Linked DNA regions of Yarrowia lipolytica. The protein of the gene in region 2 interacts with the protein of the main gene of each other region in a pairwise test. Links are inferred from orthologs where the notes say so. Each region holds a gene or a part of one and is shown on either strand. Other genes may lie near its edges.

Evidence for each region.
Region 1: the proteins of YALI1_F24469g (region 2) and YALI1_F01838g interact in binary tests that used the Saccharomyces cerevisiae proteins (3 or more experiments, as listed by UniProt). The link is inferred for Yarrowia lipolytica from reciprocal best matches to the Saccharomyces cerevisiae genes DOP1 and NEO1.

What each region holds. Positions count from the first base shown.
Region 1 is NC_090775.1:180,161-185,508, forward strand, and holds YALI1_F01838g (uncharacterized protein), read right to left. Parts: upstream 3,648-5,348; coding exon 582-3,647; downstream 1-581. Other genes in the region: YALI1_F01796g (uncharacterized protein), read left to right, coding at 1-344; YALI1_F01849g (uncharacterized protein), read left to right, coding at 4,760-5,348. UniProt on the Saccharomyces cerevisiae protein: Flippase that catalyzes the hydrolysis of ATP coupled to the transport of lysophosphatidylserine, phosphatidylethanolamine, and phosphatidylserine from the lumenal to the cytosolic leaflet of the Golgi apparatus membrane and ensures the maintenance of asymmetric distribution of phospholipids.
Region 2 is NC_090775.1:2,441,443-2,448,803, forward strand, and holds YALI1_F24469g (uncharacterized protein), read right to left. Parts: upstream 5,718-7,361; coding exon 5,666-5,717; intron 5,476-5,665; coding exon 653-5,475; downstream 1-652. Other genes in the region: YALI1_F24413g (uncharacterized protein), read left to right, coding at 1-567; YALI1_F24478g (uncharacterized protein), read left to right, coding at 6,380-6,419, 6,473-6,651; YALI1_F24486g (uncharacterized protein), read left to right, coding at 7,172-7,300, 7,344-7,361. UniProt on the Saccharomyces cerevisiae protein: Required for traffic between late Golgi and early endosomes, and for the normal structure and organization of the endoplasmic reticulum. Required for normal cellular morphogenesis.

The DNA.
Region 1 (5,348 bases), about 2.3 Mb from region 2:
CAAAGCTCGACATCCGGACCCTGGTGGCCGGCATGTGGGTGCTCGAGAAAGTCTACAAGGAGGCCATGTTCTACATTGCTTCTGAGCGGAAGAAGAACATCAACTCACCCAAGGCAGTCCCCGAGACCATCGAGGGTGTGGGAATCGACTCAATGATCTCATGGTGGGCCAAACCCGACTTTGAACAGTTTGTCGAGAAGCTGGGTGTGCTGGCGAACAAGTTCGATAAGGTGCAGTTTGATGGAGAGTCTACAGAGCACTATGAGGAGGTGAGAAAGCAAACCAAGGCTTTTGCCGAGCAGCTTCTCGAGATGGAGAAGAAGTTCTGGCCTGTCCTGGAGTAGAAAAATGCGTCTGAGTGAATAAATGAGTTGTGTATGACGGTCAACGTTCTATGTACACTTCTGAATCAGTAGTGTATCTTGTATGTATACTATATAATAGGAGAGCTCATAATTGAAGCCCCTCTCGTGTGCTTCTACTGTACCATAACTCACACTCACAACCGACAGTAATATTGCGTATATTATTGATCTAACGTTCCGATACCACTCTCCTCCTAATCTAACATGCACTGTCTATTAAGCATCCTGTACCTTGGCATAACTAGGAGGCTTGAGTTTTGCTTTTATGGCCTTGGCAGCCCACACGGGGATAAGGGCAGCCGAAAGAATGACAGCCACCTGCCAGTATAAGTCTGGCTTTTGAAAGTATTCGAGGTTGAAGTACTCGCCCAGAAACGGAATGGAACCGCAGTATAGCCCGAGAGATACCACCTCGGTAATTACCATGGTCTTGTTCCACTTGATCACCTCCAGAGCCACCATGAACAGCTCGTTGAGAAGTAGACCCGTGTATGAGACAGCAACCATGGTGGTGAAGAGGGTCTGGTCGAGACCGGTGAACACCTGGGCCAGTCCTTGCACAATGATACCTTGGTACAAGGAAATGAGCACCCAGATGAAAAAGGTGCTCCATGAGAGCGACTTACCCTCTGTCAGCTCCTTATACAGCTCCGGGTAGAGCTTGGCCAGGTGCTCGTCCACATCTTTATCGAGCACCAGCGAAAAGACGGGCATCATGGTGTACACCGTAGCATAGCCTACCATGAGCCATCCTTGATAGAGAGCCAGAGGCTCGAATCGAGATGACACAGAATACACAGTTTGACACACGGAGATAATGAGTCCTCGGTGAATGACAAACAGCGCCAGTTTGGCCGACCGTTTGTATGAGTTTCTTCCATGCCAAAGCAACAGCTTGGTGAGATGGCAGAACTGAGTGATGGAAAAGTCAGCTGCCAGACTGGCTTGTCGGCCCTCTTTTCCAACAATACCAACTCCCACGTCGGCAGCCTGGATCATGGAAACATCGTTGCCTCCGTCTCCAATACAGAGCACCCGTTTCTTTGTATGCTGTCTGATCAACAAGGCCATATCTGCTTTCTGCTGAGGATGGCATCGACAAGCAATCACTGCGGGGAGTTTTGTGGCCACAGTAATGAACTCGGTCTGGTAGAGGTTCAGGAACTGCTGTAAGGACTCTCCGTCAATCAACAGAGCAGCATCAGTCTTGAACTGCAGGTACTCCAATTGATCCAAAGCAGCCTCGCGGCCCTTGAGTTTTGTGATTGTGTGCACATGCTGGCCACGTGACACAAGTTTGGACGATACGGCCACACATCGAGCCGTCTCAACCTTGTCTCCGGTCAACATCCAGATTTTGATGCCTGCGTTTCGCAGGAGCTCCAGAGACACCTTTACGTCCTTCTGGAGTCGGTCCTCGACACCAGTCAGACCCAGAAGCTCCAGATCGTGCTCCAGATGCTCCGTGATCACGTGAGCGATCGCGTGATCTCGTCTATGCATTGCCATCTGCGCCTTCGCATATGCTTCAGAAAAGGCCTCGTACGACTTCTTGGACAGCCGCTTTCGGCCCACCACCAGTGTTCGTAGACCCTCGCGAGCCATATTTGCTGTCTCCTCCTCCAGCCAGTCGTTGGTCTGCACAATGCTAGCCATGACGGTATCGGCTCCCTTTTCAAAAAACCAGTAGTCGTCTCCATCTCGAACAACAATGCCCATTCGTTTCGATTCGGATGTGAATGGGAACACGTTGAGAATCTCGTATTCCCGTAGCTGGCCGGTAGATTCCAGTTGCAAGACCATAGAGCTTCTGTCTCGACGAACAAGACGAAGGCCGACCTCGGCAGTCCAATTGACAATGGCAATTTCATCGGGAGATGCAGCCTGATACGTCAGAGTGCCGTCTTCGTAGGAAGGAGTGACAGAATGACAAATGGCCAAAGCTGTGACAATGTCTTTGACTCGGTTTCCGATCTCTCGTCTTGATCGAGGTCCGGCTTCCCCGCCAGAGTTGACAAAGTCGCGCACTTCGTCCATGGCCTCCCCGGCGTACGAAACAGTGCCCACATGGATCTTCTTCATCTCCATGTCGTTCTGGGTAAGTGTTCCTGTCTTGTCGGAAAGCACGTACTCGATTCGGCCAAGGTCTTCGGGAATGGTGGATGTTCGCACAACAGTGTCTGGAATGGAAGAGTCATGCTCAATCTGGTATGCGTAGACCGACTTGGCCATGTCGAGGTTGACTCGGAGAGAAACAGGGATGATTGTGGAGAAAAGAATGAGAAAGCGCATCACGTCGACGTACCATTCTTTTCCAAATCCGTGGAGTGCCACAAGAACAAAGGAGAGCAAGAAGACGCAGAAGCAGAGCATTTTCGACAGAGAGTTGAGCTCGAGTTCAAGCAGACCGGTTTTAGTGCCTGCTCGAGATGTGTTGAGAGCCTGGCGGGTTTCTGCGCCTACGTAAACAACGATTCCAACGGCTGTTCCGCTGGCGAGAACCGTGTTGGCCCACATTGTGTTGTCGACTGAGAGACCCATGGAGTCGGTTCCAACAGTGACCTTTCCTTCAAATTGGTGGATGGATTTTCGCGGCGGTTCTGCCGTGACTGTCACGAGATCCTTGAGATCGGTTTCCGACAGCTTTTGGGTGATGTGAGGTGCGATTCTTAGTTTCCAGTCCGTTTCACCGTCGAGTTGATCGGTTCGAATAAAACACTCAGCTGATTCTTCCGACGACTGGAGAAGCACCATGTCTGCGGGGACACGCTGGTCTTTGTGGATCTGGACGAGCTGGCCGACATGGATGTCACGTGAAGCGACCTGGGTCACCTGATCCAGAACCGTGTAAGTTTCTGAGTTTGATTCATTGTCTCTTCGTCGTCGCAGGATGTCGTCCCATGCCTCCTTTCCCATCGTTACCGTCAATACAAAGGCCAGGGGAACGACGTAGGACGACAAGTAGCCGATCCGCAGTGCCGGAATGGCCTGCGACAAAGCAACCAGCAGAAAATAGAGATTGAAGAAAAACTTGAATTGCTCATAGAGAATCTTTGGAATGAATGACCAGGGCGAGTACTTGGCGTTGGACACGGCGTTGGAGGTGGACAGATCGGGATGTCGCGGGTCGATGACCCGTTCTTCTGCCTCGGCTTCTTGATTGTGACGGTTGCGATGGTCTCGGTGTCCTCGCCGCTCGGTCTGGGGACCGTCGCCAATCAGTGGCACGCTGTCCTCGTCCATGTGTGGCTGTAGATTGGCCAAGGGGATACTTTCCGACATACGGCGGGTGTATTGGTTGGAGAGAAAAGTGACGCCCTTGACGTACACGTGGCGCAGTAGACGGACAGGCTGATGGGGGAGGGAGAGTAGTCGTCGGTGTGTTCGTTTCACTTTGCACGGTGGGGCACGACTCTCGGGAGGAGGTCGTCTGCACTAGTGGAGGCGTGGTAGGGTCGTCACGTACAGTCGTAGTGTCTTGTTATGCCTTCTGCGCAGTGCTGTGGTGTTGTGCGGTTGTGCTGTATGTATGTTTTATGCACACTAATTATACCGTCCCTCCCAAAAAAACGGCCGCTGACAAGATCTGAACTAAGCACCTATAAAGTTGGCATATAGGGGGGTACAGTCAAGACAAGAGACCTGAGAGAGGTTCTAGAGAGAGATATGGAGAGGGGGGAGGGTGTAGTATGGGTTACGTGACTCCAAGGATTGCTGTGGAGGGTTTTATCTATTAATCCCGTACCTAAAGGGTTTGTTAGAGACACCCGATAAGTTGCTCTACATGGTTGAATGTAGAGGTGTGAAGGTGACTATGACTAAGAGGCACTCCATTAGTACAGTAGCTACGAAGCAAGGACTGGTGGAAATACACACCTGTCTCACGTGATTCTATTAGGTCTTGTGATGTGACTTCGTACAATTAATCAATCTACGAATATCTCGAGGCTATGTTGTGTCTGACTCGAGGGTCAGGCACGTGTTAGGTACAGGTAAGTGGGACGTGAACTAAGAGTAAACAAAATGACTCACATAGAGACGAAACAAGCTAACTATTGCAGTCAGATGGTCAACTAATTAGTTTGATGTAAGTTGAAGACCAAGTAAAATACGTACACCGATATCATTCAATGAAGCCATTTTGTAGGTCTAAAAACGTTCAAATACACCAATATATCGTCGAATAACACTTTCTTATCACTACAAACTGTACCCATCGCAGCTAACACCCCTTCTTCTCGCCTAGTGCTACTCACCACTATCTCCACAAGGTTTGAAATTTGGCGCTGAGCATAAACGACAAGCATGGACTATCGGAGATTCACAACACCGCCAAATACAAGTCCAACTAACACAAAAAGAGTGGAAGCCATCGGATAAAATCAGCACACATAATGAACTCAACTCCGGCCAATTCAACGCCTCTACCGCCATTACAACCCTTCACACCAGGCTCCTCGGCTGCAACGCCCGCACCAATAGCTCTGACCAGGTCCAAGCCCCGTAGACGGCTGTCGTCGAACGTGGTGGGTGTGTCGGACCGGCGGCGGCTGCTGCAAATGCTTCAAAACGTGGAGGAAGTGTCTCCAGGTCCCGATAGTGCAAGTGAAGCGGGAGAGTCGCCGTCTATTCGATCTCAAGATGAAGCACATCTGGAACATCTTTCTTCGGCGAGAATCTGCATGGATGAAGACAAGGAGCTGTTGATTCATCAGGCGCTACCAGCATTTGAAAATACGCTGCTTCGGTTCGTACAGGCGTTGTCCAAGTACGACTTTCGACAGGATCTGGCAGAAACCCTGATGGAGACAGAATCGCAGTTTTGTGAGGCCGTGGACGAGCTGGTGGAGCACCAACAGGCGGCACAGACAATCGCGGCACTGGAACGTGTCAGTGAAGGGTTGGACGACAAGATTCGAGACATGATCCGCAAACTGGCAGAGTGCAGACGAGAGCTGCGAAACTACCAGCCCAACAACGAGA
Region 2 (7,361 bases):
GACGTGCTGGAAATGGAACAGAGCTACATCAACAGCCATCTGTCATACCCTGTGGTGACAGAGATCGGAACCGGATCAGGCATCGTCACCACCTTCATGCTGAAATCCGTGGTGCCCAAAGGCGTTTTTTTGGCTACAGATATCAGCCCCTTTGCATGCAACCAGGTTCTGGCCACGTCAAAAGAAAACAACGGCACCCAGTACCTCGAGGCGCTTCGTGGAGAACGTACCACAATGATGAGACCTCATACCATCGATCTACTGGTCTTCAACCCTCCATATGTGCCAGACGACAAGCCCGTAGAACCCTACCCGGAGACAGATGGTGACTGGGTCGATTGGGCACTTCTTGGAGGTGAAGACGGAATGCAGGTGACTTGGAAGGTGCTACTAGAACTGAAGACCATACTGTCAAAGAACGGAATCGCCTACATTTTGTTCTGTGCAAGCAACAAGCCAGAACAAGTGGCTGTCAAAATGAGGGAACTGGGATGGATCGTGACGCGCATTGTTGAAAGAAAAGAAGGCAGGGAACTTCTAAGTGTCTACAGATTCGAGCTGAAGTAGTAGACCATCATTGCATATTAATTACATTTTTTCACACGCATACATATCATTCATTCATTAATCTATTTAGTATAATATATCATCTTTACTCCTGGATATCGGCCAAGAGATCCAGCTCACAAGCCTCCTGATCAGTCTCCTTGAGAGCGTAAACACTTTCGTAGTTGTAAATGGAGAGCCGGTCAAAGAAAGGCTTTAGCTGTGCAAGAGAGGTAAGAGAACCAATCTTCTGTCCAAAAAGCAAAGGCCGTCGCTTGGAAGTCTCCTCCAGATGAAGATCATCACTGCTGACAGGCGTAGACTCAGCCAACTGATCCAGAATACCGTAAGGGTGTCCGTAAATAGCATCACTGGAATCGGTGACAAACAGCCATTGATCCAGCTGGAAATCCTCCTGGTTAAGCACCAGCACAAGATCGAGCAGCTTACAGGCACTCATCACGATTCGGTTATCCGTCTCCTTACCTTGCAGCAGACCCTCGAATATAACCTGCAGGTTGTGGGCAACCAGAGGCCAAATGGGAACCAGATGAGTGGCAGAGAACCGCATAACAATAGCACGCAGTGCAATGAACAAGGACTCGAGCTCAATCTCATCCAGAATGCCCTTGATCTCCTTCATATGAAGCACAAACTGGTCTTCCTGGCCAGAAAGCAACAGGTAACACAAACGTCGAACACTGTTACCTCGAGAGCCCCAGTTGAAGACACCAGATGAGCCGGTGATGAGCTCAGAAACCTCCTTGGTGCACGTGGACCACTTGGACAGAATCTGGGGCCAGGGAGCCTCGTAGACAAAGTTGTCCTCGATGAAAAAGTCGTGAACGGCACTCTTCCACACCTTGACGGTTCCTGGGATCTGAGTGATGACGCCGAGTAACTCAAAAGACCGTTTGGGGATCACGACGTTGTTCACAATGCCCTGCAAAACGGAACTCACCTTGTCTTGGTCAATGAGAATCGTTCGCAGAACAGGAACCACCTTCATGAGAGTCTGTTCATCGGTAACCTGTCCGACCAGCTTCACAACAGCATCAGAGATTTCCTTGCTCACCTTTCGGTTGGCAAAGTTGCTGCCATCAATCTTGACTCCAATAATAGTGAGGGTCTGAACGGTGGGAGACAAGATTTCCTTGTAGGGCACGGGGTTCAGCATGACGGTTCGGGCGAAACCCATGTAGTCCGTGTAAATGTCCTCTACAGCGTCGTTGGATAGAGACTTCACATAAGCCAAAAGGAACGAGGCCGTTGACTTCTTCTGGTCATCTGAGAGACTCTGAAGCAACTGGCTCACCGACAGCTTGGGCCGAGAGCCATCCAGAACATGCAATACCTTCAACACATGGGGCATATCATCCTCCGAAAGCTCGATCAGCATTTGAAGAACCTCACCTCGCTCGAAAGAGAACAGCTTGTCGAGAATTTTTCGAGCTCGGAATTTCAACCGCTGGCCAAGGTAGACAACGCTGTCCAAAGTGTATTCCTCGGCCTCCTGTCCATCGACCTTCCGCCACAGATTGAAGCAGCTCTTGACGGCATTCTGGAAACACAACAGAACAATCATTCTGTAGCCATTGCCCTTTGTAGGCTCCTCCAGAGATAAGACACCATTGACCACGTTGGTCATCCACCCCGTGGAGTTGAGATTTAGTTCCTCCTGCGAAGCCTCGACCTTGGTGTAAGCAAGATAAAGGGACTCGAGACAGTATTCCAGACCTGTCAGGTAAGGAATAATGGAGTCAGACAGAGGTGCCGTGACATCAGTGACTGTATCGCCAACTGCAGGGTCCTTCTCGCCGTCCTTGTCGTCAACTTCGACCAGAACCTCCCTGGAGCCTGTAGAAAGCTTCTGCAGAGAAGCAACGGGGGTACCATCAACAAGAGCACACAGTCTCTCGACGATAGCAATGCTAATCTGGAACAAATCAGTAGAGTAGATTCCGAGCAGACACTCTAGGAAGTGAATCCATCCCGAACTGATGATAACGCCCTTTCGAGAAGACAAGCCATGCAGAACAACAGCAATAAAAACACCGGGAATGTTCACATCTGAGGTTTCAGACACCAAGGGGATGTCCACAGGACCGTTTCCAATGAACTTTTCGCTCTTGGAAAGCGTCATGGAAAGATCCAAGGCCTGCAGAGCCTTGGCAAGAACTGCAAGCACGATGACCTGAAGCTCCGAGTCCTGGTTTACCAAGTCAGACAGCTTAGTCACCAACACGCGCACAAATACCTCCCAATTGGCTTTGGAAGTAGGGAAGAGAGGCGAATCAAGCAGAATGGAACACAGCTTGAGCACTGCAGACAGAGCTGAACTGTATGCCAGCGTATCAACAGCCTGGAATTGCAGAAAATGAGCCATCAGGTTGGCAGTCCAAGCGGCATAGGTGGATTTGCCTTCATAGTAATCGTTGATGTCAAATTCTTCCACCTCCTCCTTGTTGAAATGGAATTTGGCCATGCTAGAATTATTGGCAGAAAGAACCTTCGTGAGAGCTGAGACGTGGTATGCGAAAAGAGCCAGGTCATCGGACTCTTCAAACAGCAGCTTGCCTTCAACGGTTGGCCGGCTGAAAAATGCGGACTTGGACAGAGGGTCTAGGAGAAGTGAGAATAGTTTATCACACGACCCGCTCGAAGCCACTGTGTTGAGCCAGTAAGAGCCAGCAAGAGATTTCTCCGATGCAAAAGCCAGGGAAATCAGCTCATTGGACGACACATCAGAGGCGAGGAATTTGTTTTTGCCTGCATTGCTGCCATAGAGCTCCAACTGAGAGGTAGGAAGAGGAAGCAAGTCGAGATACAGGAACAAGGGTCGAGCCAATAACTTGGAGAAGTTGGGTGCCGAAAGAGAGTGCTGCCAAATAGCCGAAAACACTTGTGACTTCTCATCACAGGGTTTCGAAAACAGAATACTCAGAGCAGCCTCCACTTCCCTGTCATCGCTACCGTGAACAGCCTGAAGAGACCACAACGCCTTGACCAGCTCTGCATTGTGGAAAGGGCCGTTGTAGTACTGTGAGTTGGGGGTTAATGATGTGAAAATGTATCCTACCAGAGCAAGAAGATTCGCTGGGAACAGCGGGTACAGCCTGGTCCATCCCAGGACAGCCACGGGAGGCAGAGAAGGCAGGGGAGAGCTGGAGAAGGGGTCGAATTGAGCCACTGCTTCTTCACCTGCCAGCTGTAGAGTTTTTTCCAGCTGTTCAGACTTAAAACCAGAAACCTGCTTGGCTTGTAGCTCGGAAATGATGAGTGCAAGCTTGGAGAAGATGGCTGGGTTATTACTACATTCAGCAGTGACCTTCTGGAAGAACTCATCAGCCAAGCGAGTGGAGGTCTGTAGAAGCAACAAGTAAACATCAGCAGCTCCATATCCATCGGCCCACTCGCCATCGTAGTACTCTTCGACCTTGGACTCAATAGTGGACACTTGGAAATCGCCATCAGTGAGCGTCGAATGTTCCACTGGTAAAAATGCCCGCTCGGGGATGAGTTCAATCAACAGAGTAGCAATCTCGTTCCACTCTTTCCACTGAGAAAAACGTCCAGACAGAAGATGGCTCAGTAGTGCCAAAGGAGCATGCTTGACAATCATCTCTTCGTCCGAAAGATTGAAGGTTTGAAGTGTGAATAAAGCCAAAGATAGAGAGCCAGTCTTGAGCATCTTTTGAATGTCGGCCCAAATGTTGATTGCCTCCACTGAGTCAACAAAGGCGGAGGCTGACAACACAATATCCTGGTAGTCAGGTCTCTTTTCACAGTCGTAGACAGATTGGATAATGGGTGTCAGAATCTCTGGAATCACAGTAGATCCAATTTCCCATCGATCCATCAACGAGAGAGAAATCTTGGAAGCTCTCACTGGCGAACTCAGAGCCAGGATGCCCTGGACAAGCGCATCTCGGCCGTGTGTTGTAAAGTACTCCTTCATGGAAACATCATCGGGTCCAAGAAGCCAGGCCCACAGCCTTCGGTTGAGAGACATGTCCTTTCTGAGCACGGCGGCACATGCGCTTGTCATCAGCAGAGAAATGTCGCTCTTAGAGGCCAGGCCTGTAATGACAGGAGAATCGAGAGGCAGGTTCTTGACTAATAGTTCCAGAAAACCTCGCTGGACAAGGAGTTGGTCGTCCTCTAGCCCCCGACAGAAGGCCCGGATCAGCAGGCCACATTCCGGAGTGACAGCTGACTGGGCTTCGTAGGATAGACTGTGAATGATCTTGTCGGATTCATTGATGCCCTCGACCTTGGAGAACTGGGGCAGTTCTTTGTATGCATAAACCAGCGCTCCTTGCCTCTTATCTGGAGCGGATACAATGGTGAGGAAGAAGCATTGCCAAAAGTAGGGCTCATCATGGAGACGTAGCTTGAGCTTCTGAATGAGATCAAAGCACGCCTGGAATGACTCACTTGACTCGTCGTCGATACCGGGAAGCAGTGAGAGCAGCAGCGGTCGAATTGTCGTTTTGAGAGTCGCTTGAGGCAGCTTCTCCACAATGTCCTCCTGAAGTACCTCAATCAAGATGGGCTTGACGTTAATGGATGCATATGCCATGAGCGGGAGCAGTCCGGGGAGCCAGACTCTGATTCCCTGGGCCACGGGGTCCACCGATTTGCCGTCCAGACTCTTGTGATAGTCGCCGATACCTCGCAGTATCTCAAACACCTGACGGTACACCTCCAGGGTCTTCTGGTGCACTCCTGACGGCAGGTTTGGCAGCAGACACCAGGCCAGTTTGGAGGCAATTTCGCTCTGTAGCGGCAGGTAGGATGGGTTGGAATGGCTCTTGAGTGCTTTCTGCAGCTTGCCAATGAACGAAATGTAGTCTGCCCATTCGTCGACCGAGTCCCATAAAGCCAGCGACTTCTCTAGTGCTGACGTGTATTTCTTCATTTTTGGGTCTGAATTAGTAAGTCCTGTCATTGCACACACTCGAACAGTCGTCGTTAGTGCCGGATCATCGCTGTGGATCTCTTCTACCACCCCCTAACGCGTTCGTGACATGTCCTCATGTTGAGGCGTTCAGTGCTGTAAGAAGAACAGACACAAACAAAAAAAGAGCTTGCGTGCCATAACCCTCTTCATACTTACCTTGGGTCGCATCCTTGGACCAGAATGGCAATGGCGATATTGACCGAAACATGTTGGTGATACCCTTATGTTGTAGCTGACAGAAGGTTCAGATACACACAGCATGATGATGCGTGTGCATGGCAGGCTTGGGTGGAAACAATAGGACACATATTGTAACGTCAAGAGGCGAGTGAGAGTGAAGGAATGAGTGGGTTTCCAGATCCGCGACCACCCGATATCGTATCTCTGAACGCTTTTGTCGTGCCACCTGACTAATCACTCCGGCAAAGGTAGACACGTGAAACTACCCTAACCCCCTGATGGGAGAGTGACACGTTTCAGATGTTTTTTGTTAGCTTTAGTTAGGGGATTAAGTAAATTCCGTGGGTTACGTAAGCGCGGACAGACATCCGGAAGACCAAAAATAAAATAAAAATAAAAAAATGATACAAGCACAGTAGAGAGCAAAGGGAATAGTCATGCTGATTGAGAAGCTCCACGGTAGGTTAGATTTGATGCCCTAACCTATTAATAGGAACCCACTTTCGGGGAACTTGTAATTATGGAAAGAAAGACCTCACGGTGTGTACTGTTTTCACCACCTCAACAGTTGGACACTTGTATCTCTGAGTAAGATGACAAATTCACATCTTAAGCTTGCGAAGAGAAGATTAGCGATAGTAGAGGTATATTATTCATTCGTTTTCCTAAAACAGAAGAACGTCTTTGCAGATGCGTTGGCTAAACCCCATGGACGTAACGCTCGATAAGGGTGGGACTAAGAGCGATAGTCGGAACTGAATCTTGACTTTTATGGTGAATAAGACCATTTCATAATGTCTAGCACGGCCGAAATTATTGACTATCGAACTCTCTGTCCTATTATCTGCCGTAGTTCATCGCCAGCGATTGGGTCTCGTGCCATCTCTTCCCGGTGTAGGAACCACACCCTGCAGGAGGCTTTTTACACGAACGCTTGGCTAACTTACAGCCATATTAATTGATTCTTGCCCCTTTGGGATTCACCACAGACCGCAATCTGCACATGCTACTCCACCTGAGTTCATATATGTTCGTTAGGATGTGCGTGATGAGCTGTGGCCCGGTTGTGCTGTCAGAAAGACGTTCACTTTTGGACCAAGTCTCCCAGTTGTCCCCGAGTAGCAACCTATAGACCATCTATGGGTGACAGAGATGATGAGTCTTAACTGTAGGTTGGGCGCTATAGCGGCAACGGTGAAAAAACGCTCACACAGCATATTTCTTTTGGGATGCTGGTTGGTAAGAAGATCGAGCGAATTAAGGCCCACGGCTCCCGGGTCAAGTCCATCCGCTACAGGTATCATGCAGCAACAGCGTTCATTAATGAGCTCGCGGCATTGTTTTGCATACCGTCGTGCTCAATAGGCTCGATCGGTATTCACTAAGTCGAGATGGACCAGTGGTGGAGAAAGTAGACGACGTAGACTGGGTCAAGGAGAACCCAGCCTGGGGACGAGGCCTAGATGATGGCGACAAAGCGGTATGACGACATCTGTACTACCGCCGCCTTCAGCACCATCCATGGCCTCAGCTGTCTCAGACCTCAGCCAGCCACAGACAGCTTCAACTGACACAAACAGAAGGCTATTTTTTCATCTGGGAAGACCCTGCGTGAGTTGAGCCAGTTACTGTATCAGGGCAAATGTTTTACAAGGACACTCCCTCTCCTTCC